Linked DNA regions of Astyanax mexicanus. The protein of the gene in region 2 purifies or fractionates together with the protein of the main gene of each other region. This does not show direct contact. Links are inferred from orthologs where the notes say so. Each region holds a gene or a part of one and is shown on either strand. Other genes may lie near its edges.

What was found.
Region 1: the proteins of fndc3a (region 2) and tent5c purify together in Homo sapiens (affinity purification with western blotting; 3 studies listed by BioGRID, with this or other methods). This does not show direct contact. The link is inferred for Astyanax mexicanus from reciprocal best matches to the Homo sapiens genes FNDC3A and TENT5C.

The regions. Positions count from the first base shown.
Region 1 is NC_064418.1:25,926,582-25,943,192, forward strand, and holds the start of tent5c (terminal nucleotidyltransferase 5C), read right to left. Parts: upstream 5,860-16,611; 5' UTR 5,418-5,859; intron 3,297-5,417; 5' UTR 3,266-3,296; coding exon 2,105-3,265; 3' UTR 1-2,104. UniProt on the Homo sapiens protein: Catalyzes the transfer of one adenosine molecule from an ATP to an mRNA poly(A) tail bearing a 3'-OH terminal group and enhances mRNA stability and gene expression.
Region 2 is NC_064425.1:22,182,289-22,198,770, forward strand, and holds the start of fndc3a (fibronectin type-III domain-containing protein 3a), read right to left. Parts: upstream 8,062-16,482; 5' UTR 7,581-8,061; intron 1-7,580. UniProt on the Homo sapiens protein: Mediates spermatid-Sertoli adhesion during spermatogenesis.

The DNA.
Region 1 (16,611 bases), on a different chromosome or scaffold from region 2:
GATAGCCAGACAAGAAGGGGGAAAAAAAGAAGCAAAAAGCAGGACAAACTCTGGTTCAAACTGCTCTGACCTAGGGGTGTGACCGGGGCCTGCAGCAGAGGCTACTGTGACCCACCCCCTCCTCCCTCCCAAAGTCTGTGTGTGAAGCAGATAAGAGGCCAAGTCCAGCTCTTCAGGTTATCAGAGCGTGTGCTAGTGTGCCTGTGCATGCTGAACCGGCAGCAGCTGTGTGTGCACGCTCTTGCAGAGAGAAGAGAAAGAGGGGGGGGGGGGGGGGGAAGCCAGAGCCTTGGTATGGGCTATCGGGGCAGCTGTTAGCTGTAGCCATTACGTAAGGGCAGCCAGAGGGATCTCCAGCATTTCTCTCACCTTTATGTGCCGAGTAAGCTAATGAGGGCAGAAGAAGGCCTTTCAGGCAGGCAGTGGAATCCTGGGACAATACCTGGGTCTACCCACATTGTACAGATTAACAATTTAGGCCATTTAATATGATCTGGCATGATTATCGATCTAAGATGTGACAGGAGTAGCTCTAAATCATAATGCAAGTGTGATAAAGACATGCTGACGCTGTGTGTGAAACATAAACCACAGCATTAACAGTGGTCAGTAAAAAGCAGTCCAGAATTGGAACGAAGTAGTGTTTCCATGAACATGACCATGCTCAGCTCTTCTTTTACTTTTGACCAGACAAGGGTGCCCCACTGCTGAGCATACTAACCCCTCACACGAGGTGGAACACCACATACGCATATTCCCACCCTCATTCCCCCAACCCGTGCTCCTCACTGGATAAATATAGAGCAGTGTGACACCAGCGTGGAGTCTCGTTACACAGCGAGCGATGCAAAGCCTGCTAAGGATCGTGATAGACTCAAGAGGACTGGACACCCACAGCCTTACCCTTTTAAGGAAAGGGACAACCTTGCTCACTCTTTCTGTCTCCCTCACTAACTCACTCACACCCTCTCTCTCTCATGCTTTCATTTAGAACCGACTTCCTGCATAGGGCAGTCATTCAAAAAGGTAGCAGACCTACCCCTTGCTGCAGCTGACATAGCCAAAACCCTCCCTCATGTTACACTATTCATTTCAAACTTGTCTGAAACCATGCTCTTGCCATGTTCAGTGACTACACTGTGACCCGGGCTATACAGCAACTACACAAACTACGCATGATTGAATAAGCTTACAGATAGCAGCTGTACAGCGCCGAAAGCATGTAATACCCAGAACACTAAAAATACCCAGTAAAGGAGGAGTTAGACTGAAGCACACTGCAAATGCCATACTCACAACGCTTTCACACCTGTAACCATCAGAACAGAAGCATGAAGATCCCTTCACCCCACTAGAACTAATGATTAGCTGAGAGCAACAGGAAAAGATAAAAATGCACATAAAGGCAAAGGCTTTTAAACATATCAGCAGCTCACCAGTAGTGGTTAAAAAAAGGGGGGAGGGAATGAAAGAGGGGAGACATCACATACTAAACACAACACACCCAAAAAAAAACCCTCCTCATAGCATATTGGAATTTGCTGTTTAGGCCTGTGCTCGTTTTTTTTTTCTCCCCAAAAGCCTTTTGTATTTTTTTTTCCAATTTACATTTAATAGTTTTTAAACTTTTTTCATAGATTTTTTTTTCCATTTTCATTTTATCGCAAGAAATATATCAAACACTGTTCCTCAAACTTTTTTTTTCCCCTGAAGATTTTATATTTTGTATATTTTCTTTTTCCATCTGTGTTAGGGAAGCATTAAGGCACATAAGATTTTAGGCCTGAACTACTCCATTTAGAGACACAAATATAAGCTACAAACCAAATTTAAAGGATACCCATCAGTATATATAAATGTAATCTAAGCACTAAAAATATAATCACTTTGGATCCAAAGGTCTCAACCCTTCTGCAGATAAGAAATAAGCTCCCCCCAAAAAAAAAGAAAAAAAAAAAAAGGAACAGGAAAAACACAAAAAGCAAATAGTCCTTTTAAATATGTATATTATGCTTGCAGGGGAAAATGGCACATATGGCCTAATGGCCACTCTTTATATTTAATTTTCTTCCCCCTGACAACGAAACATCTACTTTTGAATGTCTTAGTTGCACGGCAGCCATGTTGGAATGGACTGGTTACATGAGGCCACATAATAGTTACTGAAGTTCAAGTCTCTGACATAAGGCGCAGGCTGGTAGTAGCAGGTGACACTGGATGCATCTGGTATGGCATTCTGTTCTGCCAGCACCCGGAACGCTGTGAGTGAGATGAGGTTGAGAGTCTGCCTCCTTTCGTGTCCCATGAGGCACACTGTGCTCTCGTTCACGACTCGCCGCAGGATCATGAGGTAGTCATACTTGCTCTTCTCTTCGCCCACAAAATGACTCTGCAGGTAGGCCTCAAGTTTCCTCTGCTGCTCACCGATGTCGGGGAAGTCAATGAAAAACCGAGAGCACATGTAACGCTCCAGAGCTTTAAACTCCTCCTCATCCGTGGGCCTGAAGTCCCTTACCAGGAGGTTACAATATTTCAGCAACCCACCCCCACGGATCTCCTCTGGCCTTTTGGTGGCGATCATCTTGTTCTTGAGGTGGTCAAGAGCAACAGCGAAGTCACCATACACACTTTCCCCAAGCACAGTGGGATGGAAATGCTGAGACATGGGGGTTTCTGAGAAGTCATAATATGAGAGCAGTGAGTCCAGAATAATCTGGAAGGAGTCCACGCTGAACTCGAACTGCCTGCGGATCGAGTCCACGAACTTGAGCTCCACATTACGGCCGTTGTTGTTGGAAAGGGAGATGAGGGACCAGCGGTCCTGCTCGGTGTAAACTTTCACAAGTTTCTGCACATAAGCCTCCTTTAGGGTCATGGGTGTGATTTTCTCCTTGTTCACCCCCTCTGGCAGGAAGTCCAACAAAGTGCCCAGCACCACATCTTTGATGAGCTGGAACTGTGCTTCCTGGGGGAGGTCCACTCGGAAAATGATGTCTAGATCTTTGTAGCACCAACCGATGTCTTTCACCAGGACGTGGCTGGCTGTAGAGCCATTCAAGCGGATGTCTTTGACCTGAATGCCCCTCTGCTCCAGGCGGTTACGCACCATCTGCACAATGTCCTTCAGCCGGACCTCCAGTGTGGGAAAGTTGCCTCGGCCATGGACCGGCACCGCCTCGGTCAGCACCTCGTTCAGGCGGCTCACCTGGTCCCAGGTGAGTACGCTGTAAGACTCGCTCTCGCTGCTGGATGAAGCTTCAGCCATGTTTGCCTTCCTTGAGGTTCCTTCAGACAAACTGCAACAAATAAATAAAAATCAATAAAATACTTTTAATAAATTATAAATTAAAAAAAATCATGCTAAACAACTTGCACTACATTTTAACATTTAAATTTGAAGCACCACAGCATTTCAAAATAAGAGTGTTTAAAAAAGGCAAGAGGGAAAAAAAAAAAAAAAAAAAAAAAAGAAATTTAAACCATTTAAAATTAAATATTCAAATGTATAAACCTAAAACAACGAAAAAAAATAATTAACTGCCTGGAAGGAAATCAACCAAACCAGTGAGCCCTAAACTACATACTTATCATTTATATTCATTTAAAAAAAAATTACATTTAAAAGCACCAAGGCACTTCAAAATAAAAGTACATTCTATAAAAGGCACAATAAAATAACTAATAATATCATCAATATTAAACTAATTATTAAATACACAAAACTGTAGGGTAAACCTAAAGCACAAAAAATTAAAAAGAAAGAGCTGGAAGGAAAATGAACGGGTTTCTACCAAACGCCTCCACAACACACCAATGAGCTCTGACGTTTATCAGGACTGCATACTTTTAGATACACCATATCTAGACGGATTACAAGCAAAAAGCAGGTTGGACAACACTCTCAGTCACGGTGATAAAAGTGTTGCCTTTGGACCACAGCACCAGAAAATCAGTGAAAAGAAAAGCCCACAGTAACTCCCCCACTTTCCAGAAAGACACAGCAGCTTTCAGCAACAATCGAGAAGACTCAGCAGCGCCGCGAACGCGAACACACACGCAGGAGAGCACTGCTGTTTACAGCCCATCCAAACCAGGACGGAAAAAACACGAATAAACGAAAAACGAAATCTATATCAATCATAAATTACATGGCACATCTACTTTCAATACAATAAGGCATACTAGTGTGTCATAAATAAGTGTCCATGTGCAGAAAATACACTTCTTTAAATATGTGTCCGTTTATATTCTTACAGTCTTCTAACTTTTAGGTTAAAATAATCATGATAAAAGCAGTGGTTCTCATCTCTTTTGGTTTTGCGTGCTTCCTTGCTATAAAATACCTAATGAAATGTCCTCCCAAAAAGTATATCAATTAAAATGCCATAGAACAGTGGTTCTCAAACTGTGGTAGGTGTACCACTGGTGGTACACATAATTTAAGGGTGGTAACTTTACACCAGATGAAAAAAATTGAAACGTAACGAGTTTTGACCTCTAATTTACAGAATATCAGGTGTTTTGGTGTTTACTGTTTAACCTGGTAGCTTACACTTTAGTTCTTTATTGTTTCAAAGCCCTACATATGAACACCATTCATAATAGTTTCTGTTTTAATAATAATTGTAAAATAATTAACTTAGGATTCAAAGGGGTGCCATGTAGAATGTGTAGTCCACTTTTCTGCCTCACACTCCTGTTATTTCCCTCGGTCTTAAGCTTTCCGACATGTTTCAGTAGGTATATTGAATTTACGTGAAATAATTAAGAATTTGTGGAACACTGCCTAAAAAGTTTGAGAACCACTGCCATAGAAGGTTAACTAACCTTCCAAAGAACTCACTAGCATTTGCGAGCAAAACAACTCCATACAATGAGTTAAATGCCCTGTGAGAACAGCGAGCAGCACATGCACTCTGGCTCTACAGAGACAACACCAAACCACTTTACAGGCTGGCTTCATGTCCAAACCTGACAGGAATAGTTCTAATTCAGCAGCGGCCATCACTAACTTAACCCATCTACCTACCCTGATTCAGCACGACTGAAACAGGCAGCAGCTCAGTGAACTAACTTTAACTAAAACCAGGCCAACTTTAACCAAAGTTTACCCCAAAAACCTTAGCTAAAACTTTCAATCAGCCTGACACAAACACCCTACACTTAAAACCACTCTGCTAAAAATCCAGCGGATCATTCAGAGAAAACCTATTCATAAACAAATAACTAGTTAACGAGCTAGCCTCCCAGCAAAGCCTAAGCTTTTTTTTTTTTCTCTGGATGGCCAGCCGGTCTTGCCCTGGCTCTTTCAGCAGGGCAACACCACGCCACGAGCTTTAGACAAGGTTTAGTGACCTAGGTTAACGAAGTTATATTAAATGTATCAGTATAAAAATATACAGATGTAGTTCTCAAACCTGCTGTAAACACGTGAATCCTCGCAAAGTCCTCAACCCAGTAAGTTAAGTACACAGCACCACACGGTCGTCAGCTAGCTAAGGTTCAGTATCCAGCCCTCCATCCGTTCATCCATCCACTCGCGTGCTCGCTGCTCTACAGAGAGACTCCTGCGCTTCTGGCCTGAAGAGCTGCACCGCCTTCTTTTAAGCCGAAGAGTTCACTGGGTAAAAATATAACCACACACCCACCGCCCTCCACCGCGCCGCCGCACTACATTTCTCTATACACGTGCTGCTGCTGCTGCAGTAGTAGTGCGTGCTGCACTCCAGCCGTATTCGCTGATTAAACCAGGATTAAGGTTAGATCGTGTGTATGTGTAAATCAGTGATATTTGCTACGCACTGCTCGCACTAACTACAGCGCTTTCTCCGCGCACTTTAAAAAACTAACAAGACTTCATATCAATGCGCGCAGCGGCCTCCTGATTGGCCGGGCAGGTTTTTGGCGTTGCCCGGTAACCATGCGCGCAGGTCGTGCTTCACAGTTTTTTAACCTGGTAGTTTCGTGATTTCAGTGGATTTTCATGATTAATTATTAGAGTTAATACGGATATTTTATTCCCAGCGGTACTCTTAATAGATAATATATAATATATGCTATTTACATTCACTTACTAACTAATCTTTTTATGGCGTTTAATTAGCAAACTTTCCACATTTCCCATCTCAGATCTGCCCTCAGTCCGTCACTGTGGTAAATATAGCTGCTGTGAGTGAGTCACTCTACTACACCCGAGCTGTTTAAACACGCAGCGACTGGTGAGATACATTACGCGCTAAAATGTGCCAAACTGTATTTCCAGTTTACTTTTTTAAATTAAAATTTCCTTGAGAACACTATATAAGATAAAACACCATTTTCTAAAGAGTAAATTAAAGTATGTAATTTTACAATATTTGTATTGTAATATCATTTTCCAAAATATATTGTCCAGCATGACATGTGCTTTAAATTATTGTAAAAAAAAAACAACAACACACACATATATATCTAAATAAAAATAAGAGACCACTTCAGGTTTTGAATCAGTTTCTCTGATTTTGCTATTTATAGGCATACCTGTCAAGTTTTAGATTTAAGAATAAGGGATATTTTCCTCTGTACTCCTAAAACCGTCCCACCAGCCCAACGAAGGTTCAGTATCCCTTACATTTTAAGACAGGTTTACAAAAAATCTAAAATAACCACAAGTGAACCACTTACACACTACAATTAGATTATCAGAATCTGAAATGTTGTGGACATTCCTACATATGTCATTCTTTTAATACAGCCAAATTAAATACCCTTTTCTATATATTAAAAAAAAAAAAAAGATTTCATGTCTTTTTGTAATAAATGCACTCTTTTATATGATATATTTTTTATTTATTTAATGGATTTAAAATTGAACAAAGAGTGCACAAATTCTGCAAAATGACTGTAGGTTAACTAAAAATAGTATCATGAGCTTTTACTAAAAGGACATGGACCAGATATGTTCCATCAGTAAAATGAGTCCTAAGGGGCCTACAAAATAATTTTTAATGAATACTTCTTTCTTTTGATCACTCCACCCCTGATCAGTTCAGTTAATTTCGGTCCTCTCCACATTTCTAGTTCTAGAGTCACAAGCTGTATTTTTTTCTAAAGTCACAAGCTGTATTTTTAAGCAGCTATCAGAAAAATCTCATCACAGTTTACATGATTAGCCTACCGTTACCTTTCTTTTAGAAAAATTGCTGTATATCCATGTATGTTTTAACATCAGCTGCTCTAACTAGCTGCCTGAACTCACAGCGACGGGGGGCTTTCCCACACTGACCCTCCTTTGCAAGCTGATTGGCTGTTTCTCCTGAAAGGCGGGACTTTCTCCTTGAACCGGCTCCACGATTGGTTAAGAGAGCGGTCAGTGCCCTGTCTCCTCAATAATATATATTTTTTTATTTTAGTATAATACGGGAAATTTACGGGAAAATACTAATACGGGAGGACGGCGGGAAAGAGGAGTAAAATCCGGTAGTTTCCCGGCCAAAACGGGAGACTTGACAGGTATGTTTATAGGTAAAGTTATATGTTTGAGTAAATGGAACTTTGTTGTTTTATTCTATAAACTACAGACAACATTGTTTCAAAATTCCAAACAAAAATATTTTAAATTTAGAGAATTTATTTGCAGAAAATGAGAAATAGCTGAAATTACAGAGCTTTCAGACCTAAAATAATGCAATTCATAGTCCTGGTTTTTAATCACAGTTTTCATGCATCTTAGCATGTTCTCCTTCACCAGTCTTGTACACTGCTTTTGGATAACTTTATGCCACCCCTGGAGCAAAAATTCAAGCAGTTCAGTTTGGTTTGATGGCTTATGATAAAAAAAAAAAATAAATAAATAAAATAAATAAATAAAAGTTCAAAAAGCGGTTTCTCTGATTTTACTATTTATAGGTATACATTTGAGTAAAATGTCATTGTGGTTTTCCATATGCGCCCCTCTATTGTTTTGATGTCTTTAATAATCTAAAATGTAGAAATAAAATAAATAAAGAAATATAGAAAAAAATCATTCAATGAAAAGGTGTGTGTATATATATGGCAACTAAAGCAACAATATGTCCTAATATTGCGAAAGTATAGACAGCTCACTGCTACATATTATTAGCATAAAGCTAAGCCTCCTGCTTTAGGATCCTGTGTGAGTAGGCAGAATTTCTAACATATCAAACAGTCCTAATGTACTGTTGTTTTAAAAGATATTACAAAGAGGAAATTACATCATGTAATTCCACAGAACAGATGATCCATTGTTTATTTGTGGCGTTTTTCATGTTATACAGGATCCATCCAGCTTAATCCAGCCACCATGTCATATGTAAACTGTTATTAAAATTATGTACACTGCGTGTTCTTAGTAAAATAATAAAAAAAAATGAAATATGAAAATAGCATCCATAATGAGTTTAGTGTGTTTTTATAAATTACTCTAAATTAGAGTAGATTAATAGAATAGATGTATATGTATATTTACACACTCAACAGGGGTTTGATTTACACCTTATATGCCACGTCCCAGATCAATCTATAAATGAAGAGTTGCATTGTGCTGCTTATTTAATGTAAACTACCATGACACTGATCTACAAAACATTCTAGTAGCCAAGTAGATTTATTTTGAATTCATAATAGTATATTGCCAGTGCTTTTCAGTCTTGACCTTTGTGACCTAATAACAGTCCTCTCCTGATTAAAACCACATATTTCTGCAGGACAGTGGTACCCCAGGACTAGAATCTTCCATCAGTATCTGTTGTGTCCATGATTTTACCTGATTTCTAAATTAGTATAGCTGACAAAGCCCAGCACTGAACACCAAAAGAACACACCGTTCAGTTTGTCCTTCAGTAGTTGTAATAAAGTATCTTTACTATTATTTATACTTGTTCAGTACAGAATAACAATGGGTCATGTTACAAAGTCTCTGGGGCAGAGAAGTTAAGGGCCATATTCAAGGGGCAAACAGTGGGAGCTTAGTGGTTAGTGGACACGGGTATTAAACCCATAACCCACAGGGTTCATTATCAGTATCTCAGCATATAAACCACTAAGCCACAAGTGCAGTAGCAGAGGGGTCTGTACGAGTTAGTGAATGAACTGAGAAATATGACGTTCTTTAATGCAGTTTCTGTACATAACTGGGTCTAGTTGATAGGAATTCTCCTCACTCTTAGATGTAGTTGACCTAATTTCGTCTACCTCCCTCTTTCTGTTTCTCACAGGAAGCAAGTGGTTTCTTTCAGTGTTGCTGAGAAGAGCAGATAGACATCTGAAGAAAAGGAAAGGGGGCTTTGAGAAAGAAAAGAGCAATCATTGGAATGTCCCTGTGTCTTCAGTTGTGCTGACTACTGTGTCTACTAACGTTCTCCGTTCTACTTCCGTTTTAGGGGTAATCCCTGGGTCGCCCCCATACTAACTCTGCCTCCCACTCTCTATCTCTCGCTCTCCACCCACAGTTTCACAGCTCACTGCAGAGGAACTAGAAACACAGTGGCTGCGAACTATGTGAACTATACACGAATACTAGAAGGTGCATTACTGTACACTAACTTTAATAGATGCACATTATGTAAATACTGTAGGTCACTGCAAGTTCTATTTTGTTTCTAATATTGTTCCAGATATGAGTAGCCAATGAGTAGCTATTGATGTAGTAGTGTCTTGTGTCCACACACTTAAAAACTAAATGATTCTTATTGTGGATTTTTGAATTTACATAAATTGGGATGCATCCAAGGGCAATTTTCCAGACAAAGATTAAGCTTAAGCCCTATTCTGACAGGGGTCCTGGGGTAATTTTCTTTTTTATGGGGGGTCCGCTGTGATTTTATTCCTGTCCGGAACGACCATGTATGTGTTTTTCTCAAACGTCTTCTTGAGAAAATTAGGGGTTGAGTTACCTACTGTTTTTCACTGAACTCCTCCGGAAAAATAGATATTTGTCCACTACTACGCACTTAAACACAACAGCGAGTGGAAATGGAGGAGCTTCTGAACGCGATGTCATGTGATTGATAAAGTAAAAAGAAATTCTGGTCCTGTTTTTTCAATTGCAGTCTGGATGCAAGAATTTTAGAGTGAAAGAGTTGCTGATTGGATCATAAATTGCCACAGCAACTTAGCTGTAAGGTGGAGGATCTTGTTAGAGTAGAGTATATCTAATGGACCCTACAGTATGTATAACCCCAGTTGTTTGGTGCAGGATTTATTATCTTCCTGTATTACAGGGGTCGGCAAAAGGTGGCTCATGAAACATCTGGCCCGTAAGGTTGTTGGAATTATAATGAACAATAAATACAAAATGAAAAAATGAAACAAAAAAAAAATAAAATGCTTCTCTGGCGAGCCTATGTTTACATTCCTCCCTTATCTCTCTGTTTTGCTCTCAGCGTGACTTTAGTTTCCACCTGTTCTCGTTTTTCCACCCGTTTTTGGGCTTTCTATCTCCTTATAAGGGCACTTTTTTCCCCAGTCGTGTCCCAATTTACTAGCCAGGGCAGCAGTAGTGTATTGGACCGCGATCCTGACGACACAGGTTATTTATTTCCTTGTTTCTTGGATTTGCCTGCCTTGAATTCAACTGTTCTGCAATTGGGTTCAGAAACCCTCTGGGCTGGAGAGCTACTAGTCTGTAGTACTCCATCCCATTACACTTCATTTTGCAAAACATTTGTTTTTTTGTGGCTTGAAAAATAGCTGGCCCGCGGCAAAAATTCATGGCCGATTCCTGCTGTGTTATGTTACTTACACATTTTGTACTAAGAAAGTGATTGAGTTTCGTATTGTAAGTCACTGCAAGTTCTCCTAGTGCTGACGCTGCTGTACTTTAATTTTATCTGTTAAAGTTATCTGTCATTTTTAATCCTTAACTTTTCTAGACATCACTTGCCCCTGTCTTTTGATGTTGCACTGCATTGTGGAATGTAACAACCAACCAATTCTGTGTATGCATCTTGGATATTTGAGTATAGTACTCAACCTTAAACATATATCTGTACTACATACTCAAAAATTATTCAGTATGAACAATTAATATGCAATTGTTGTGTTGGGGGAGGAAGCTGTTACAGAACTGCATGGCTATGAGACATAAAAAATATCCAAGTTAAACCAATCACAGGCAAATGTGGATAAATATTCAGGTGTTTTTTTTTTAATCAAATCTAGGTGCAACACGTCTAGCAGATTTTGATAATTGATCATAAAGTCATTGAGTATTATACTCTATGGCCTACATACGTGTTACAAACATGTAGAGGCTAATTTGTTGCAAAAGCCAGGCAGCGACACTGTCTTGTCAGACAGGAGCTAACAGCGATAGGAACAGCATGGAAGTTTGTTCCTGTGTTATTTGTGCAAATAACACATCAGTGTTCTATGATTTGCCCAGTAATTCTGAGCTAAGGAATTGTCTGTGGAATGTCTGTGGAAAACCAAAGTACAATTGAGATATTATATAAATAATTATATAAACCTCTGAACTTTCTGTATTTATTTAGATCATCTGTAAATGCTAGCTGCTTTTTACACTATGTCAATATTTGAAGATGTAGGGACCACCAGAAATGTGTCCCAAAACAGCTTTTTCTCATGAAACTGAAAAACACCCCTGCTTTTCCTGTTAACTTACCATTATGAAGATACAAAGTTTTGTTCTGTCAGGGATGGTTTCTACAGGCCACGTGTGAGCTTGATCCAATTCAGTCCCCGCAGGCCATACTGACTTACTTCCTCACAAAGAGCAGGTCAGTGGATTTCTACTGTCATTACGGAAAGCCCGTTTTAATTAGTGCAAGTTCTGAGTAAGAGGACAAGTCATTTTCTGACCTCAAAACTAGACGATATCCAGGTGCAGGGGAAACTGAAGACGCTTTCACACTGAAAGAGCAAAAGCTCTGAGTCATGCACGCAGTATATTGCTGCACAAAGCACCAGATAAACGTGCTGTCACCAGAGATGCCTGTCTGTGAAGATGACATATTGTTGGAGGTGACATTAATAAAGTCTTATCATGAAGGAGGAAAAAAAGTCATAAAGAAATGAGAGGAGAGCATTTTCCCTCCAATTATGACATTACATTGGCAAACACTGGTGACATCATCATTACTTCCCCTTTTGGGGAACAAAAAAGAGAGCGAGAGAAATGAGTCATCACACAGGACGTCCTCCGACAGTTATACCTCATCATAAATGTATTGATTCAAAAATCTTCCTGTGAACAAAGACGTTACGTTATATTACAGTTTTAGCATTCAAAATAATCTCAGAGGAGTGAAAAAATTATTTTTTGTGCATCCCTCAGTTTGCCTTACCACATCACCACAATTAAAAAACAGGTATTCAAGTGAGTAAAACACTTGGGTGAGTAGTCCTTCTCAGTAATAGGGGGAAAAAAAACTTTTTTAAACACTTTAAACACTTAACATTCCTCCATATACATATACATACATAGACACATTGGACAGATGTAAATCCAGATGTGTAGTGAAGTAAAGTGCAGGGTGCAGAGTGGGTTAGTGTGGGGTGAATTAGCCAATCAGAGGCGATATGTTTGCATGCATGAGCAAGAGCCGAAATCCTCTCGTTTCTCCCCGCACACTCCCCCACTGGACTAAAGCAGTGCGATACCCGATCACCTGAGCACTTTTTTTCACAAAAAAAAACCCGATTCACATGGCATTTATTCATATTAGAGACCACAACTAGACATTTTATGAAAAAATGATGGAATGATGCCTTTAAGTGGTTGACGCCAATAATATAAATATTAATTCATTTCACAATTTTACATTCATTCTCTAAATTACATTTACACATGCATTATTAAACGCATAAGTCTTGTAAGAAAGACCAGTGCGATTAATCACAATTAATGTCAGAATATTGTTGTGATTAATCTGGTAAAACCAATAGCATCTAAAAGAGCTTAAGACATTTTCAAGAATTCAAACTGTTTGCCACTTGACTGATACCAATCATTGCAGTCCTATTGATCTATTGATCAGTCATCTGTGTTCCAGCATCAGATATGTTTTTGTTTTGTTTGGTGATGCTCAGATCTCTTGATTAGGACAAAAGCCACTGAGCTAAAGCATGACCAGCCATAGACCTATGAACTTTAACAAGCAGTCTGGAGCACAGATGCACAAAACAGAATAAACGAACATCAAGAGCACACTGAAGGGAGGAGAGAGAGAGAGAGAGAGAGAGTGAGAGAGAGAATGAAAGCAGACCAAACCATGGTTTGTCCAAAGGTGAAGATTTTAATTCTCAGGAGGAGCTGTGCCACCTGCTGCAGCTGGGCTCTCGGCCAAGTGGAAGTGAGTCACTGTCCATACTACGGATGGTTAACCAGCAACCATTAACACATTAAACACACACTGGAGGAGACATACGCACATGGACTCACACACAAACACACACACACACACACAGAGGCCATTAACACATTAAACACTCCACTACATTTGCAGATGTCCACGCAAAACCATGTTTCTTTTCTTCCCCCTCTTTCCACCCTGTGACTCACAGCCGCATATATTCATAACCCGCCTACCCTCCGTGACCTCAGAGACTCAGAGACGCAGGGACGGCTGGGCCATACCAGTTATCAGTTAGCACCGTCCTCACTGCAGAAACATCACATCATCTCCTGGACAGGCTGGACGGAATGTAGGCCTCGGGGTTTTGACTACACGGAACACGAGCACATGAGCATTAAAAGACATTAGGACACTTGGGGCCCTCTATTGACGTCCCTCGCTGAGGTCAAATTAAGCATGTCAACAGAGTAAATGGCATCTTAATGGTTCTGACTTGGCACAACAAACAGGATTATGACAGAGTGTGATAAAGATAGAAATGCATTAAAAAGAAAGAGAGGAAAAAAGCGCAACAATAGCACAGAAACAAGGTCAGGAAAGGTAAATGGCACTGGGTTAAATGCAGCAATTCTTAGTAATCATTACTATTATTACTATTGTCACTGAGACTAGAAGCAAGAAAGAATCATTCTCCGCTCAACACAGCTGTAAATAAAGCTGCTGTAATGTAACGGGTACACTACATACAGTGGTATAAAAAAAAGTTTGGGTACCCCTGATAATTTTCAGGATTTTCCTTTATAAATCATTGGTTGTTCTGATCAGCAATTTCAGTTAAATATAATATATAGCAGATAAACACAGTGGTACTTAACAAGTGAAATAAAGTTTATAGGATTTACAGAAAGTGTGCAATAATTCTGGGTACCCAACAGAAAAAGTTAAATCAATATTTAGTAAATCCTCCTTTTGTAGAAATAACAGCCTCTAAACGCTTCCTATGTCGGAAGAATTGTTTCCTCCAATGCTCAAATCATGATTTTGGAATTAGTTACAGGTCTTGCTGGAATTGCTGGTAAGTACCATGCAGCAGAAAAGCCTCCTTAGTGAGGAGAGGTCCTGATGATGGATGACTGGATCATATTTCTGGGTCATAAACACCACTTCTAATCATTCCACAGGCACTGAGCAGAGCTCCATCATTTCAGAAAACACAGTGTATCAGTGTATGTGTGTGTATGTGGGCTTGGGGTGTAAGGTGGTGCTAACGGGAATGCAGTTGGCCTGCTGCCAAGTACAGAACTCTTCAGTCCTGGTTCGGAAAACCCAGAGGACTACCTTACTTAGTATGAGCTCAGAATGTCATGGCTTCCCCAGAGGAACGTGACTGTCTGCTGGCCTCATCCTCTTCCTCCTCCTCTGATTGGTTTAATATCTCCAGCCTGAATACCTCCCAGCCTTTCTGAACAGCCTAGACCAGCTAAAACAGCAAGATGACTAATACCATAAGCTCACCAACACACGACTACAGACACTGGAAAGAAGGGTTCACTTAATCACTCCACTGGTAATGATGTCTGGGAGGTAGGAAACACATTAATACTCTTTCAGAGCCGTCAGTCAGTCAGTAAGTGCATCGGTTTGGTATGGCATCCACTTACTGTGCTATTGTTATTCCATATGTTCTCCTGAAAACTCAAACTGTGATCTGAAACTGAGCTCAGACGAGCAGAAATAAGTGAAGGGTGAAAACAGGGATGAAACTTTTCTCTTTTTTAATAGTGATACAGATCCTTAACACTTACAATCTAATGGCAAAAATGTTCCAATATTTTTTTTACGTACAAACTACACTGATAAGCCAAACTAATATTGACTTTTTCATGTCTAACGCAAGCTAAAAAACACTGCACTCACCTACAGGATGTGTGTGTGGGGCTTTCTGAACTGAACGTGGATGTGATTTCCTGTCAAAGTCGCTTTTCTGTTCACACAGAGATTTTAACCAGATGCAGCCAGTCACTGTGGGTGAGAATGTCTTCTGTGACACATTCTGAGCAAATACAGTATATGACACTCTGAATTAAGGAACGTTAACTACCTGCACAAGTTATAGAACTAGAATGTTCCATCCATCTTTCATCCATCTTTCATCCATCTACTCGCTTACATTTTGTAACTAAAAAAATTATCTAATTCCACTGCCACTATGATCGGGAGATCGCTGGTTCGAATCCCGTTCATGTAGCTGGTCACAATCATTACCACCCATGGCACTGTCCACTGTGGGTGGCAATGCCTTTTGTAACACATTCTGGGTAAATATATGACACACTGGATTGAGGAACGTTAACTACCTGCACAAGTTATGTCCCTCTAACACTATTGATGCCCCATAACCAGGAGGGTGAAGACTAGAAGATGCCTCCTCCGATACATGTGAAGTCAGCCATCGCCTCTTTTTGAACTGCTGCTGATGTAGCATTTGCGAATAGCATCACAGCGCACTCGGAGGAAAGTGCAGTGACTCAGTTCTGATACATCAGCTCACAGACACAGCCTTGTGTTGATTGACATCACCCTTTGCAGTAGGGGTGTCACGATCTCGATATTTTATCGAAATCGAATCGAAATGAGGTCACGATCTCGAGTATCGAAGTCAAAAAGAGGATCGACGATCCCTCCCGCGCGCGCTACGCAAATAGCGCAGCGCGCTACGCAAATGGCGCGGCACCAACACAGCGCATCCTATTCATTTAAATAGAGATAGCCACTGCATGAGCGCAGTCGGCGGGAGTGTGATCACTGTTTTTATCTGTCCAACGGGGGAGGGGGGGCGGGGGTTGGGCGCGCAGGTTTTGTATCTGTATCTAACGGAGGGGTGGTCGCGCGCAGTTGAGAGCGTGTGAACTCGCTGAAATGCGTGTGTCAGTGTGACTTGAGAACACTGACTATAGATCACAGTGAGGTGGATTAAAAATCTTAAACTTATAATTGACTACACCTGTTGCTTTCCATTGAATTAAAAAAACATCTTTCTCTCAGATAAAGTAAACACAAGCGTGTTTCTGACTAAAATAAAAGCTTTTCAGGAGAGATATGTTATGTGTAAATATTTATAAGACAATACCCACATCACTTATCTAACCAGCCTGTACTGATTTCTGCCCCCCAATAATGCTTTCAATAACCTCTTGTAACCCCTGGGAGCCAGGGGTTACACTCTAATAGCCTTTAATAGTCTTCAGTAGCCTTTAAAAGACTTACCTGGCGGCCGTGGTGTGTCCACTAAACT
Region 2 (16,482 bases):
CCTCACAGTGTTTTCTGTCAGCCAACCTTTTATTTTCAATCTCCAGACTATTTTAGTAATAACTCTGAATTATCATTCTGCAACCTTTGACTCAATGTTTTGTAGGACTGCAACGATTAGTCAATATAACTGAAAATTGTGATTATTTAAATTTGTCGATTACAAATTTTATTGTCGACTAATTGTTAATTCGTAACAGGACCGCATTCCACAAAGTTCTATACAGGCTCACTCACACAGTTTACACTCAACTTGGTCTGTTTTCTAAAACTGCCAGATTAGATAATAGTATCTACTCACTAAATATCTGTACTCTCCATGTTTAAACAGCATCTGGACATTTAAATGCCTTTTAAATCTCATGTTTAGCTGTTTTTCTGTTGTTTTTAGAGATGGAGGACATGGAAGAAATAATCGTTGACAAATTGGAAAAATTATTATCAGATTAGTCGACTATCAAAATAATCATTAGATGCAGCCCTACTGTTTTGTCAGTTATCACATCCACACAATGTAATTTACAGTTTCAACTAAACTTACATTCTAGAAATCTCATCAGCCATGACAATCAATACCAGTCGTTCAAATGACAAAGAAAAACTACCAAAAACTCCCCCTAAAAATGTCTCTTAATTACTTAGAATAAATTATTATTCTCCTTTGGTTCTTCTTTCTGTGCAAGTGTGAAATAATCAGGAATACCCCATATCCACTCACCAAACATTACAGTCACAGGTTTTACTCAGACAGGATTAGTTAGTTAGTTTCATGTGAAGTTGGGGAAATGTAATTATTAACAAAGTTTTCATTGATTTTAGTCATGTTTGAATACACAGTTTTCACATGTCATAGGTCAGACGTTTTCACTGTGCACACCCATGTCAGTAAATATTCTGACGCCTTTTACCTTCTGTAAAACAAGACCACTTCAGTTTCTGAATCAGTTTCTCTGATTTTGCTATTTTTAGGTTTATGTTTGAGTAAAATAACATTGTTGTTTTATTCTATAAACTACGGACAACATTTCTCCCAAATTCCAAATAAAATTGTAATTTAGAGCATTTATTTGCAGAAAATGAGAAATATCTGAAATTTCAGACCTCAAATAATGCAAAGAAAAACAAATTCATATTCCTAAAGTTTTAAGAGTTCAGAAATCAATCTTTGGTGGAATAACCCTGGTTTTTAATCACAGTTTTCATGCATCTTGGCATGTTCTCCTCCACCAGTCTTTCACACTGCTTTTGGATAACTTTATACCACTCCTAGTGCAAAATTTCAAGTAGTTCACGCTTGGAAAAGTTTGTAATTCCAAAGCGAGTAAAAATAACACAAAATTAGTGTTTAGTTATTAGTGACAAAGTAAACCCAGTAGTAATCAAAGCCTTAATTTAAAGTCTTAATGTGTAAAATTGTATATACTCCTAACAGTAAAGAAAGTCACAAACCTATATAAAAGCCCATTCATGTACAAAAAATAAAAATAAATAAATAAGATAAAATAAAAATACCATGATATACCCTAAAACTGTCAGAAACTTGAAAAATACCGTGATATATATTTTTGGTCACACCGTCCAGCACTAATCCCTAGTGAAATCTCACAGCTCTCTATTTTCTGCATGTAGTTAATATGTTTGTTTTACAGGTTAGGATGCAGGAATAAAACCGAATACATCCAATTACCACCACTGATGAAACCCCGTGCACTTCCTTGATCTGATTCAACACTGCAAAGAAAATGGAAAGAAACACTGTAACTGGGCTAATGGGTCCACCCAGGCGCAGAACGGTATGGCCCGGCCTTAGTTACCATCTGGCCCTGCAGTAGAAAATAAGCCAAAGCGAGACAGACGAAGAAAAGAATATGAGAAGGAAACAAAAATTGACCATCTATAAGCTCAAAAGTCAAATATATTATTTTATGGTCTACAAAAATCCCATTCCTTACGTTTCCCCCATTTAGCCAAGACTAATTCCACTTAATATACACAGAGAGATCTGTGCCGAAGGGGCTCTGCTCCAAACGGCACAGCAATATCTTATAAGTCCAGAAAAGACTCCTTTATGAGATATAGCCTAACCATTTAAAACTTTGATTTACTAAGATATGCCTCAGCAGTATTTTTTTTTTTTTTACCATGGAATCTAAGGAAGCCTAACAATTCTGCGCTATTAACAGATTTCGTTTTTTTGTCTGAACATCTTTAGATTTCGGTTTCAGTGATTAAATCTTGGGCGCTTTTCCGTTTTGCAGTACTTGGTTTCAGTAGCTTTTTCAGTCATTTTGTTTTGTACATCTGGCCCATATCACATCCCCGAAAAGAGAACATCCTCTCAGTTTCTGCGGTTTTTACACATTGAACCAGAGTAGTCTGAATATATACATAACGCATTGTTGAACCGGACATTTTTGGCTCTACACCAGTGGGCCTCATACAACTCACACAGGACTTCTTTTATTAATCAAATTTTTACAAAGTAAATATAGCAGAACCTTAAAAAAGTCTGGTACATCTTTTTGTCTTCTGTACTCTATTTACGAAATCTCTTTAATTTAAAAAAAAAATTTCTCTTCTTCCTGTCTGCTTTTGCTCTCTTTATATTTTGGTCTGCAACCATGACAGAAGAGCTCTGACTGACTGGCTTGTTTTTAACCCATCCTATATAATGCAGAGAAAGAGCAGCCTCTAATCAAAACATGTACACAGCATTGCAGTCAGTTTCAGACTTTGGTGTGAAGAAAATAATTTATATATGTGAAGATAACAAAACTGTATATAGCTCCTTCTTAGAGGAATATTAAACAATACTACTTTAACTTCTCTGATGTGTAATTGTGTAATTTACATGTATAAGTAATATGGTAAATTTCAATGATTTTCAAATTGTTCTTTAGATTTACTCTGATAGTACTCAGGCAAACTCATACTAAATGGGCCAAAAGAAAATATAACTGTCAGTTTAGGAGCATGTCGAGAAACACAAGGCTATGATGAATAGGCTGTTACCACCTCCACCACCATGACATTACATAATTTAAAACAGTCCACACTTGCAGTCTGTGATGCTCAGTTGCGTCATATCAGCCCAAATTCTGCAGTACTAGGCCAGCTCATACTTCACAGCCATTTCAGGTTACAAACAGTCCTTCAGATAAACTGCAGGAAACGGCACTAAACCAATCTCTAACACACATACCACAATGTGAACCATTTTTACAGGTTTTTAATATAGTATACTGTTTTAGCAATTAATAGCCACATAAGTTATGTCATGGAAATACAAGTTAAAGGTCTCCTTTCACTAAAATTTTTAGGTCTCTTCTTGTTGTATATGCATGCTGCACATGAAACGGTTCTTTAACCCCATTGTCTGCATTAGCTAAGAAAAGAAAATACTCAGAAAAAAACGACTGGATCAGAAAAAGCAACAACTCGCCCAACTTGGCACGGGATCGCCCACAGAGCTGAACCTGGGCTGCAGCAGTGCAGACACAGTCTCATCAGCTAAAGAGCTTACAGCTCTGTTTACACCAGCTTGTTAATGTTAGCTATCTTGTGTAACTAACTATAAGTTTACATCGGATCTCCGGTGGATTCCGCATTTTACTGAGACCTTAAATGTACACTAGGAAAGCACGGTTTGACAATGCCGCAGGGAGAGCAGCGCCACTGAGCAGTACGACCAGCAGTCGCCACTCACCCCGCGGCCGAGTGCCGCTGCCTACACCTCAGGCGAGCTACGCTGCTCACCCCGCGGCCAAGCGACGCAGAGAATCTGATGTTAAGTTAAGTTTAGGACTTCATTTTTCCTAGCACTCAGTGCTATATCTTCACAACTAAGGCTGTATCTCTGAAAACATTTTTATCCTTGGAGTTTTAGAGCTGTAAAATTGACAGTGGGGCTTTTTCTGCTGCAGTGCTGTTAGCCATTTAGAGGCGATATAAGCAAGAGCCGAAATCCTGTCTTTCTTCAGAGACCACTAATCCAGTGAACTAAAGCAGGGTTATACAGAAACACCGGAGCAATTTTTTTCACAAAAAAAAAAACGGCTGACATGGCATTCGTTCATAAAAGAGATCACAAATAGACATTTTAATATGAACAAAAAAAACAATGGAATGAGATGGAAATACTTAAAGTATTTCCAGGTCAGCTATGATTTAAGATTCCTAGATCAAGATTACAAAAGACAATCTCTATTTTGTGTGTTAAATGTTGAATTACACACACTACACTGATTTGTATAGGATGCACAGAGATGCTTAGTTTTGATTACAGGCAATAGTTGCCTTGATTGAGCAGATTGACCGGAGGGCTCTATAAATGTTCATACACTATACTGAAACTTTGCTGAAACTGCAGATGCAACAACACAGAGGGTAGAACGATCCAGAAGTGTATTATGTACACATGCTAAAAAACTATATATTAATAAAATACAAAGTCTGGTGCAGTACTGCTTAAACATGAGCTCTTCTGGATTCAATACATCAAATATTTGATTCAAACTTAAGTTAAATCTAAATATCTTATCAACAGTAATTTCTGAAAGTAAATGCAGACATTATTCCCATGTTTTGCATCCCTATTTGAAACTGTTGCACCAGGTATTGATTTTGACTAAACACTAAATGATAGACAACAAAGTATGTCTACACAGGAGGCTAGAAGCTAGTAACTTAGCATTGCATATAAAACCAGCCCAAGCTGCCGTTCGCTCTTCCCATTCCTAGTTAGCCTGACTTTTCATCAAGAGCTCAAGCCCCAACAAATCACATCAGCACAGGCCCATGCGAGGTTGGGCATCATTAATCTCACTTCTGCAGACGTGGCGGCGCAAGTGAAGTTCTCATCACTATTTGGCAACAGGCCAAATCTCGGCCTACTGATATAGAGGAGGATTAAATGCAACCTAATCTGCTGTGGAAACACAAAAGCTTGCTACTCTACACACAATGTGCACCCTCAAAAGAAACAAATGGACACTGTGTTGGTTAGAGCACAAGTATGTGACAAAACGGTGAGGCATTACACCGGCAATGCAGACGGACACAAAGGCCTGCAATGTCTACAGCAGGGATCACCAATTCTAGAAGGTCAAAGACTAACATAGTTTGGTGATTGTCCTGCTCAAATACCAGATTTAACCTGTGAGTTAATTACCAGTTTCAGTAGGTGTGCTTGAGAAAAGAAATCACCAGACTGACAAATCAATAACCTCTGGTCTACAGCATGATTCACTCCTCTTGGAAAGATCTAAACAGTGACACCAACAGAAATTGCTAAAGCTCCTCCAGTAAAACTGCTTTGAAACACTGACGTTAATTTCGGCCTCACTTTTTCAACTGATGCTTACTTGTGTAGATTAAATATATAATCATTATATATTATGACCACAAAGGAAGACAAATGCAGTAGCTGTTATGTCTGAAACATGAACAAAACAATATATTTTTTTAAACTAGGGATCTAACAAAATAAAAAAAATAAATTAAATGAAGGCTTTCAAACCTTTGCAAAAATGACAAAGCCTGAAAGTATTTTTGTCATGTTTTCCAAAGAAAATGTCATTGTTCAGTATAAATATTTCACCTTCTTTTTATTAATCAACAGAAAAATTGTGGTCGTTGAACAAATTTGATCAAACATAAGACGAGTTTAAGAACTTTTGCAACAGCAAGCAACAGGTTACTGTGTGAGTCGATTAGCTAATGTATTGGTTTGCAATGTTTTTATTGTTGACACAATGTAAACAAGCTAATGTAGACTTTTTATAACTCTGTCACTGCTGGATGCATTAGCAAAACTAAGTCTGTGACCCTGAAAAGGCCTACTGCCTTTGGAAAATGTAATACATAAATGGAGCTACTACTTTACAGATCCTGAGAACATGCTGCTCAGTTCAACAGATAACATAGCTTAGCTTAGCAACTCAATCAGGAGAAAATTAGCCAGCTCAGCATCCGTCTTGTAGTCCTTCTGGGTTTTAAGTTGCCCCCATTATCAAACACACAGTCAATACACATTTTCATTTTACTCTAATCAAGGAGTTTTTTGAATGATCTAATGTTGTTACTGCTCATCAAGTTGGCTTTCAAGTTGGCATCAAGTTAAATTCCACACCTGGCAACCCGGAGGGTGCAGAAATAGGATAGGGGAATGGGGCAGTGGGCAGGATTAAAGGCCACAACACAGATTTTCGCTCCATAATGGAAGATTCACAGAAGAACATCAAACTGGCTGAAACCCTGTTTATGAAGAGATGCTAGTGCTCAAACCTGGCTAACAGGTTTCTGTAGTATCTGGAGTTTGTACAGAAAATATATTAGCTAATACTTATTGCTCCTTTAAAATGTGCTGTATAATCAGTTGAATTAGCTATGTAGAGTAGTTAGTGCAGAACTATTCACACACAGACAGAGGGAGCAAAGTGCCCATCTGGTGTTTTTTTATACCCACACTTAGCTAGGCTAGCTATCTTGGCTATTCAACAGGCTGACTCTTACATCCCCCCCTTCAAAAATGTAGGGATGTGAATCAAACTGAAATAATTATAGCTTATTTTAAAGCTTAGAGCCTTAGACAACTATCAACATGTTACAGCCAGTTATCTAGCGTTAGCTAACAAAGTGCAACAGTGCAAGCTCACAGATAACGTTGACGTGTGCATTACAGGTTTCCTTTAGTTCAGACAGCTAAGCTACCACATTCTCACCTGATAAAAGTGATTTAGCTAGCTAGCTAGCTGGCTAAATATACTGACAGCTATGCCAAATCATGTCTTAAGAGCATCTACTAATAACCTCCTCTTCCAGATTGCTCGTTTAAAATTTAAAAAGAGTGGAAGAAGAAGAAGTACTGTATACTTTTTATGGTTAAAACGTTTTTTAGCTTTTGTGGTTATATATTTTTCTGGTTCTTATATTAATCAGCCAATACTTTATAAACTAATGTTTGTTGTTTTTATTTTTATCCAGCTATTACTTAACTGGTTTCCATGTTTATCTTTACACGTTACTAAGCTACTTTTGCACTTTGAAGCATTTTAAGCATTTATTTGTCTTTTATTTGATGGGTTATTGCTGTTTTCTTTCTGATGTCACTCTTAAGTTATAAATAACTTTATTAATTCATTTTGCTTTAAACTTGCTTAGCTAAACTGCCTGTTTATTTGTTTTCTGTTTGTTTTCTGATGTCTTAGGTTTGCTGATGTTTTGTTCACTTTGCATTTGAAGGTGCTAGTTATTTGCTGGTCTATTGTAGCTATTATTATTACTGTTATTATAACCACAGTAAAGCTGAATTACTATGCCATGTTAGCCAACTTACTAGTTAGCTAAATAACTATATGTCAGGTAACGTTAGGTATATAAGTTAGCTGCCTGCATGCACGGTAGCTAGTAAGCTAATTTACCTTATTTAAAATCAGTATCATGCAGAAATTGGGCTATGTGCTCACAGCAATTTGCAGTGCGTGTAAACATACGAGCTAATGTTTGTTAGTTATTTAAAGCTAGTTAGCTGCTAGCTAAGCTAGCTACCTTTAATGGCAAAGTAACAAGTCAACTACTCACTCACCGCAGTTGTTCCTCGTCCTGCTTCTTCAGCTACAGATAAAAGCATTAAATGGAGGCAGTATTCACAGAAATATGCTTATATCCCAGTGGTCTTCCAAGCAGGCACCGCTGAGAAACCTAGCTAGTTAGCCAGCAGAAGCGCTAACAAGCCAGCCAGTCAGTCCACTAGCTAACCTAGCTGTGTGGCTAAATATAAGCTACGTGGCTCGCTGCTGTTAGCTAAACCCCCGCGGTACAAAATTACTACTGGCTGCTAGCTGATAGCTCCCCGAGCTTCAACACTGCAGAAATCCCCCGATATAACATCGTCCGCTCGCTTATCCGAGCAGAAACGGCCGGGCTTTAACCGAACAGCGCGTCCTCTCCTGAATACACCGATCTTTCCCAACTGTTCTGCTCACTTTTCACTCTCAGCCTCCATCTGATCGTAAGCTGGGCTCTTTAACCATTTGGACAACCGCCATCATTTTCTCGCTCAAGAATGTACACAATCTCGCCGCGCATGCGCAAAGCGGGGAGAAAAACAGACGGTACTCATTCTTTACCTGATTTTGGGATTTTCTCCTAGTCTGGTAAAATAATCTAGTTAAAGAAGCCACCTAAAATTATAATAAAAACAGCATATATATATATATATATATATATATATATATATATATATATATATATATATATATATATATATATATATATATATATATATATTTGCAATATTAAGTCAGTAAAAAAACTAAACTTTAAATAACCACTTATAATCGGCTACTGGAGCCCTGAGACAGCACAATTGGCCTTGCTCTCTCTGTGTGGGTAGATGGCGCTCTCTCCCCACATCATTCCCAATGGCGATGTCGATCAGCACAAAGCGTCTGTGAGCTGATGTATCTGAAATGAGTTACTTCGCTTTCCTCTGAGCGCGCTGTGATGCTTCTCAGCAATGCTGCATCAGCAGCAGTTCAAAAAGAGGTGATCTCTGACTTCACATGTGTCGGAGGAGGCATGTGCTAGTCTTCACCCTCCTGGTGTTGGGACATCACTAGTGATAGGGGAGTCCTAATGAGTGGGTTGCGTAATTAGCCGTATAAATTGGGGAGAAAATAAAAAAATAAATAAATAACCACTTAGGCTACGTTCATATTACGTTCATATTTTTTTTGTTGCCCAGATCAGATATGACGGTTTACAGTCACAAATGTAAGTGACCTGTATCTCTGTGTAATGTGAACAAATCTGTCTCTGAAACGCCTCACATGCGCACATACCTGTATAAACGTCGCTGTCTTCACAAACAATAAAAAGTGTCATATTTGAGAGAAGACTCGTAGCTTTATAAAAGAAAATGCATGCAATAGCAGCTCATATGTGTAGCATCTTTGCTCGAGTGGAGAGCAAACAGCTGGTCTGAAGTACATGCTCAGGTCGAGGAGGTGAAAAAAGCCCAGGCAGCTTGCTTTTGCTGTTTTGCAGCTATAGCTGCTCAGCTGCACCAAGAGATGTGTGGGTACGAGAGAGAAGCACGTAGCGCATGCATAAAAGCAAAAGACGCATGAATTCCGATTTGACCGCTTACATTCATGTTGTATGTCCATGGATCAGATATGTAATGTGCCTACAGGTCAGTGAATCACAGACATGAATGCAAGCAGTACATATTTAATGTACATTATATATTCATTTGACTTTTCCCTGAAACACCTGCTGTAAATTAAGACCAGCATTGCATTTTATATTTGGTCACGCTGGTCATTCTGGCCAAAGGGAATGGCCTTGCAAGTTGAGTAACTTGGTGATACTGGTGATGCTGGTCAAACAGTGTGGTCATGCTGGTGGTCTAGCTTGATGTGGTTGATCATGCTTGTAGACCATCAAACTCAAACAAAAACATACCCTATTCTGGTCAAGAGCTACTATGGTCAACAAGCTAACCCAGCTTTACCAGGTTGATCTGACCATACCGATTATTTCAGCAAGGCACATATGATTTTACGATTCCACTTAAGCAAATGTTTAGTTTATATTATACTTTATTTAAGCTTTCCATAAAAATTAATCTGCTCTAAGCAACTTAACCTTTATAATAATGATAATGCAATTTAACTTTTAAATAAAAGAGGAAATGTCCCTTAACAAGTCTGCTTATGTTGAAATTTGGAAGTTGCTTGTTTTAAATCTGCCAACAACTGCAAAAAAAGATACAAAAAGTGACACCAGTGTCTGATACACAAACCTGTGCAAAGGTCAGAAGGACTCTTTATTTGTTTAATTTCCGGTCAAAGTGGCCATTAAGTGCAGGTTATTCATTATTAGGTATTTCTTAGAAAATTACATAATCTGCTTACACAAGGTTAAAATAAAACAATAAAAAAAACAGAGTTTCCAAAAAAGGATTAAAATACAGAGAATTGGAACTGTAAACTATATTGTGCAAGATCTGGCAGACCACTGTTCCCATCAGATAAACAGCACTAAAAGCTATTAGAACAAAGAAAAATGAAGCTCCACTCTTGCTTTAGATCTGAAAATGAAACCACATGTGATTCTGTCCATCCCACCACTGTGAGAAAATGCCTCAACACTGCAGGTGTGAAAGGATGTGAAGTGGATAAAGATGTTCTTACTGAGAAAAGAAAAGATAAAAAAAGAAGAAATCAAACAAAGAAGCTGCTGCTGTTCTCAGAAAATGGACTGACAACTCTAGAGTCCACACATCAATATCTTTTAGTGTGCCTGAAATGACTCGGAAGGTGAGAAGCAGATAATTCTCCAATTTTTTTAAAACTAAACTTTGTAGATGTGGAAAAATCTCTCTACAGACTATTGCAGGCAATCAAACAAATCAACTGATAAAATTAAAATATTGTAATGATACTGACTTTGATATTATTATTTAGGTTTAGATGTTCTACTCCAATTTTCTGCTTAATACATGAGTTTATATTAGACTGCATAAATCTAAACAAAAGCATTTGATAACATGCCATTAATGATGTATGTCAGTATTATCTAGCTCTGAATAATTGCATACTGGTTTATTACTATCATTATTATTATTATTAGAAATGGCATTTGACTGTTGTTACCCCACAAAATAAAAAACTCCCTTGAACACTTTTCTTTAATAGATGAGACGTATTCATGTCAACGTTAAGCTCAACAAGACAATGCAAAACCACATGCTGCACACAATACAAAGGCATGGCTGGATTTTGCTATTTATAGGTATATGTATGAGTAACAATGAACATTGTTGTTTTATTGTATAAAATACAGACATAATTTCTCCCAAATTCCAAAATAAAAATAGTTCAGGAATCAATATTGGGTGGAATAACCCTGGTTTTTAATCATAGTTTTCAGGCACGTTCTCCTCCACCAGTCTTACACACTGCTTTTGGATAACTTTATGCCACTGGTGCAAAAAATCAAGCAGTTCAGCTTGGTTTGATGGCTCATCCATCTTCCTCTTGATTATATTCCAGAGGTTTTCAAGTTGGTAACATCAAGGAAAAACATCATAATTATGTCACAATTATATCATAGTCTTTTATTTTTTTCCAGAGTATGTGAAGAACAATCTAATAAACATTCAGCAATAATAAGAGTGTAATTATACAAAATAACACCCAAAACACTTTACCATTCTAACTTTTTTTGCAGGCCTGAAATGCAGGAATAGATGTATATGACAAAAATAAGATTAGTTTGAATAGGCAATATCTTGGGTTTATAATGTCTACAATGTAGTAGTCAAAGTAAATGTCAAAGTAAATGTAAGAAACACTGCATTTATTAGGGCCCGAGCACCGAAGGCGCAGGCGAAGCCTGCACCGGAGGTGCAAAGCCCTATTGTTTTTGGTCCGTTTATTATTATTATTATTTATTATTTTTAAACTTTGCGCCCATTTTTGAGGCCTTTCCAATACACGAAAACTCAGGCATTTTTGCACAGGCCTCAAACTCGGCGAAAATTTTAAAGTTCCATAGAGGCTGGACTTTGGCGTGGTTCAGGAGCTCTATAGCGCCCCCAAACGTCGACATTGGCCAAGATAAAGTTTGTCCAATGTGCACCAACTTTGGTATGCTCATTGACCTCCTCATACATAACAAGAATCACTTGTTTAATCGGACTCTGCCAAACAGGAAGTCAGCCATTTTGGCAGGAAGTCGCAAAATAAAAAGTTTCCCGCTGGGTTTTGGGGGGGTTATGATGTTCAAAAACTCATAAAACTTCACAGGCATACTTGGCTTAGGGTGACATTTGAAATAAAATTAAAACCTTTTTTGTATGTCATCTATAGAATGCTCGAAAATTTTGACAATTGGCAGACTCAGTAATGCTTTCAAATCATTTCGAAAAATGTAATCGTTTTTCGAATAAGTAGCTAGATGACTCTACAGCGCCCCCTATTTGGTTTAGGCTAATAAATTAGCTGTAGCTGTCTCAAAATTTCTCCAATGTTCTCGATTTTTGGTACAAGCATAGATACTACGATGCCACACATAATACCCATTGGCATGTATTAGCTCCGCCCAACAGGAAGTCGGCCATATTGAAAAATAAGACATTTTTACACATTTCAGTCTTCGTCAGATTACCTCTAAATTGGGTCTGGATATGCTCCAGACATACTAAATACTAAATTGCGAAGGAATAGTTGATAGCTGAAACGATGATGTAATGGCGGGCAATTGATTTAATGGAGACGCAACACTAAACCAAATAGAAACACGAACATGGTCAGAACACAGCTGCTTCGAAATTCATGAAACTTGGCAAAAACATAAAAGACATCATTACACACGTTTTCAGGGTTGATATGATTGACTCCGCCCAACAGGAAGTTGGCCATTTTGAAAAACGTGCATTTTACACACATTTTTTGCATACTTTGTCGAACTCCTCCTAGGGAACTTGTCGAATACTTTTGATATTTGTCAGCAATAAACTACTGACACCTGATGATAAATTGCGAAGGGATAGTCGATATCTTAAACGAGAACGAAATGGCGGACAGTTGAATTGCTTGAGATGCCCCATTAATACAGGAAGTGAATACATCTTGGTGTTGGTAAGTGTTTGGGGAGGTTGCAATGGATGAAAACTTACAAAACCTTACAGGACTGCTTGACTTATGCTCTCCTTTGATCTGGAATTGAAATTTCATATATACGTATTTCATTGGATCTATAGCTCCACCTAGCTTTCAATGCATAGTTTACATTACGGGAATGCTCAAAATCTCAAAAAAAAATTGGCCGCTACAATATAACTGTACATTTCGTGAGAAATCACATATGGGTCCAACTTTCACCAGCTTCTTGGTTTGGCCCGGTACGATTTGCGCTGATATGCGAGGGCCCTACGTCCCCCTGTGACAGAGGGACAACTCGTTAGGGCCCGAGCACCGAAGGCGCAGGCGAAGCCTGCACCGGAGGTGCAAAGCCCTATTGTTTTTGGTCCGTTTATTATTATTACGCTTCTTGACCCTTTCGCCCATTTTTGAGGCATTTCCGATACTGGAAAACTCACGCATTGTGGCACAGGCCTCAAACTTGGCGAAAATTTAAAAGTTCCACAGAGCTTGGACTTTGGTGTGGTTCAGGAGCTCTATAGCGCCCCCAAACGTCGGCAGTGGCCGGGATGAAGTTTGTCCAATGTGCACCAATTTTGGTACACTCATTGACCTCCTCATAAAGAACAAGGATCACTTGGATTTATTTGACTCCGCCCAACAGGAAGTCGGCCATTTTGACAGGAAGTCGCAAAAAAAAAGTTTCCGGCTGGTTTTCGGAGGGGTTAAGATTATTGAAAACTCCTAAAATTTTACAGACCTATTTGGCTTAGGCCATACTTTGACCTTAAATTGAAATTTTGTATATTCGTGTGTCATCAGCTCTCTAGCGCCACCTATTTCGTATGACATTTTTGGAAAGCGCTCAGCCTCTTGACAATTGGCAGATTCAATAAGGCCTCGAAATGATTTAAATATATATTGTCATTTTTGTTGTGTGTAGCTAGATGTCTCTACAGCGCCCCCTATTTGGTTGGGCTAATAAATTAGCCGTGGCCTTCTCAAAAATTCTCAGATATTCTCGATTTTTGGCAGAAACATAGACAATATGATTCCGCACATATTAGCAATCGGCACATTTTTCACGAACTCATTCGAACTCCTCCAAGAGTTTTCGTCACATTACCTCTAAATTGTCTGTGGATAGGCTCCAGACATACTTGGTGATAAATTGCGAAGGAATAGTCGATAGCTGAAATGACGACGTAACAGCGGGCAATTAATTTAATGGAGACGCAACACTAGCCCAAATAGAAACATTAGCATGGTCAGAACACAGGTGTTTGAAAAATCATGAAACTTTACAGAAACATAATAGACATCATTACACACATTGTCACCATTGGTATGATTGACTCCGCCCAACAGGAAGTTGGCCATTTTGAAATATGTGCATTTTACAACAACTCGTTTGATCTGTTTTTCTGATTTTGGAGTTGAAAATAATAATCATAATAGATGGAAAAAGTCATTTGAATGTAAAAGTATTTGCTGCGGCCGCCAGAAACAGTAGGCTTGCAAAGCCATAAAAAATCTGATAATGTTTCCCCAACATAGCTGAAAAAAACATTTCTACAACAGAGATCACAATGTATGCTTTTATAGTTAAGAGGCGTATTACAGAGTCAGGCCAGCAGGGGGAACTGCAAGTAAATACTTTGAGAGAAGAGCATTTATAAATCTGTACAGTAATTCCACTACCAGCACAGACACTGTGCCTCCTGGACATGTGAAATTGCTTTAATTAAATTTAGAAAATGCTGTAGCTATCATTAAATTGCTGCCCAAACATTACCAAGCAGCATATTGGAAATTACACTTCTTATTGCTTTTTGTATGATCCAGTAAATGAGAAACTTTGATGAAAATCTGCTAAAAAAAAAAGAGCAATCACAAACATGATGATGCCACATAATAGGACTACATTTTTTTATTGATTTTTGTTTTTAAGTTTCACTCAGACATACTCAACATGGACAAAAGTATTAGGGCAACAGCTCATTTATTGCTTTATCCAAAATCAAGAGTTTTAAAAAAAGATTTTGTCCGGTTTTGTTGGCGTTCCAATGAATACTAGATATAGCACCCTCATTCCTGAGAACATATGTTTAAGACATGTATTCAGGAATAATGGGCAAAATAACCCCCTAAAACAGTAATTACTTGGTAATTCTAAGTGGTAAAACGTCTTTTAAGTGTTTTATAGAAATACTGGGCAACATTATAAGTGTTAGAATTTTTTTTTAATGTTTTTGCAGGCCTGAAATGCAGGATTGGATGTATATTAACAAATGAAATGAAGGTGTCCAGATTAAACATTAAATACATTTTGTAATAAAACTGCAATAAAACAGTCAATGTCAATGTTAGAAAGGAGTTTATCGGTTGGTATTTTAAATGCTCTGTGGTTTGAATGTTTTAATTGAAGCAAGCTTCAAATATTACCTATAAATATTACATTTTAACTATGAAGGTTTTTAAATTTTTTACTCTATGTAACATTAAACAGTCCTTTAAACCCTGATTGTAGGCCCATACATTATTACTATCGGTATTATAATTTACAACAGACCCTATGTGTGGCAGCACCAGCAAATATTTTTTAATGAGCCCCAACACATTGGTGCATACCATAGCCCCTAATTTGTAACGTTTAAATCTTTAGAACATTATAATACATGTAGTTCTTTTAGTTGTGCTTCTTATTTAACACACTTCAGTCAGCATTTACAGAGGTCTTTGTTCTTGCCTGGTCTGTTTAATGTGTTTCATATCATACATGTGTGTCTCGCCACAGCAAATTCCTTGTATATATAATAAACGTTTTGAATAAAAGTGATTCTTTTCACACTGCAATGGTGATAAGGAAACTATTTACTGTGCAGTACCCCAGTTTCCTCTGAATTTACAGCAGATGAGAATATCAATGGATGAAGAGTTGAATATTTAATTTATTTAGAAAAAGTAGGACAACCAGTTTCCCATTAAATGTGTCCTTCCGCTAAAAGTGTCCTTCTGAGTTGTTTATGCATGCTGCACAACCTCTATTTTCTGCAGTAGCTAGGTAAAGAAAATATTCAGAAAAACGAGTCGATCAGGAAAAGCAACACAGAGGTGGATTTTTACTTTCTGGATCTGGACTACCGACCTCTGTGTGTTTACATAGGATCTCCGGTGGATTTTGTGTTTTACAGAGACTCTAAGACTAGGTCTAGAGTCTAGGACTAAGACTAGCAGGGCATCACACATGTTGTAAAGAAACACATGCCATTGCAAAGACTGCTATTAGTGTAAAAATGTCTTTATTTTACATTGTTTCTAACTGTTGTTCATCTCACAGCCTCGCAGTGCTGTTAGCCAATCAGAGGTGATATATTTGCATGTATGAATATTCCTCTCCCCATTCCTCCACAGGACTAAAGCAGCATTATACAGGATCACCGGAGCACTTTTTTTCACAGAAAACAGCTCACATGTGATTCATTCATACTAGAGACCACAACTACACATTTTAAAATGAATGAAAAAAACGATTGAATGAGACCTTTAAAAAAAAAAATAATATATACAATCCATTGTAATGGATTCGTTCTCTCATTATCAAAGAGCAGTGAAAAAAGCAACTAATACAAAGCACTTACAAATAATACAAAGCAATTTGCTTAACTACAAGTTCTATACTGTTTCAATATACTATAGTACTGCATAAAAAAGCTATGCACTATATAGAATTTACATAGATTCGAAAAAAGTTTTATAAAACGGCATATTCAATGCTGGTGGGTACAAAATGCAGATACATCATGTGCAGACAGGTTTATCCAGTCTAC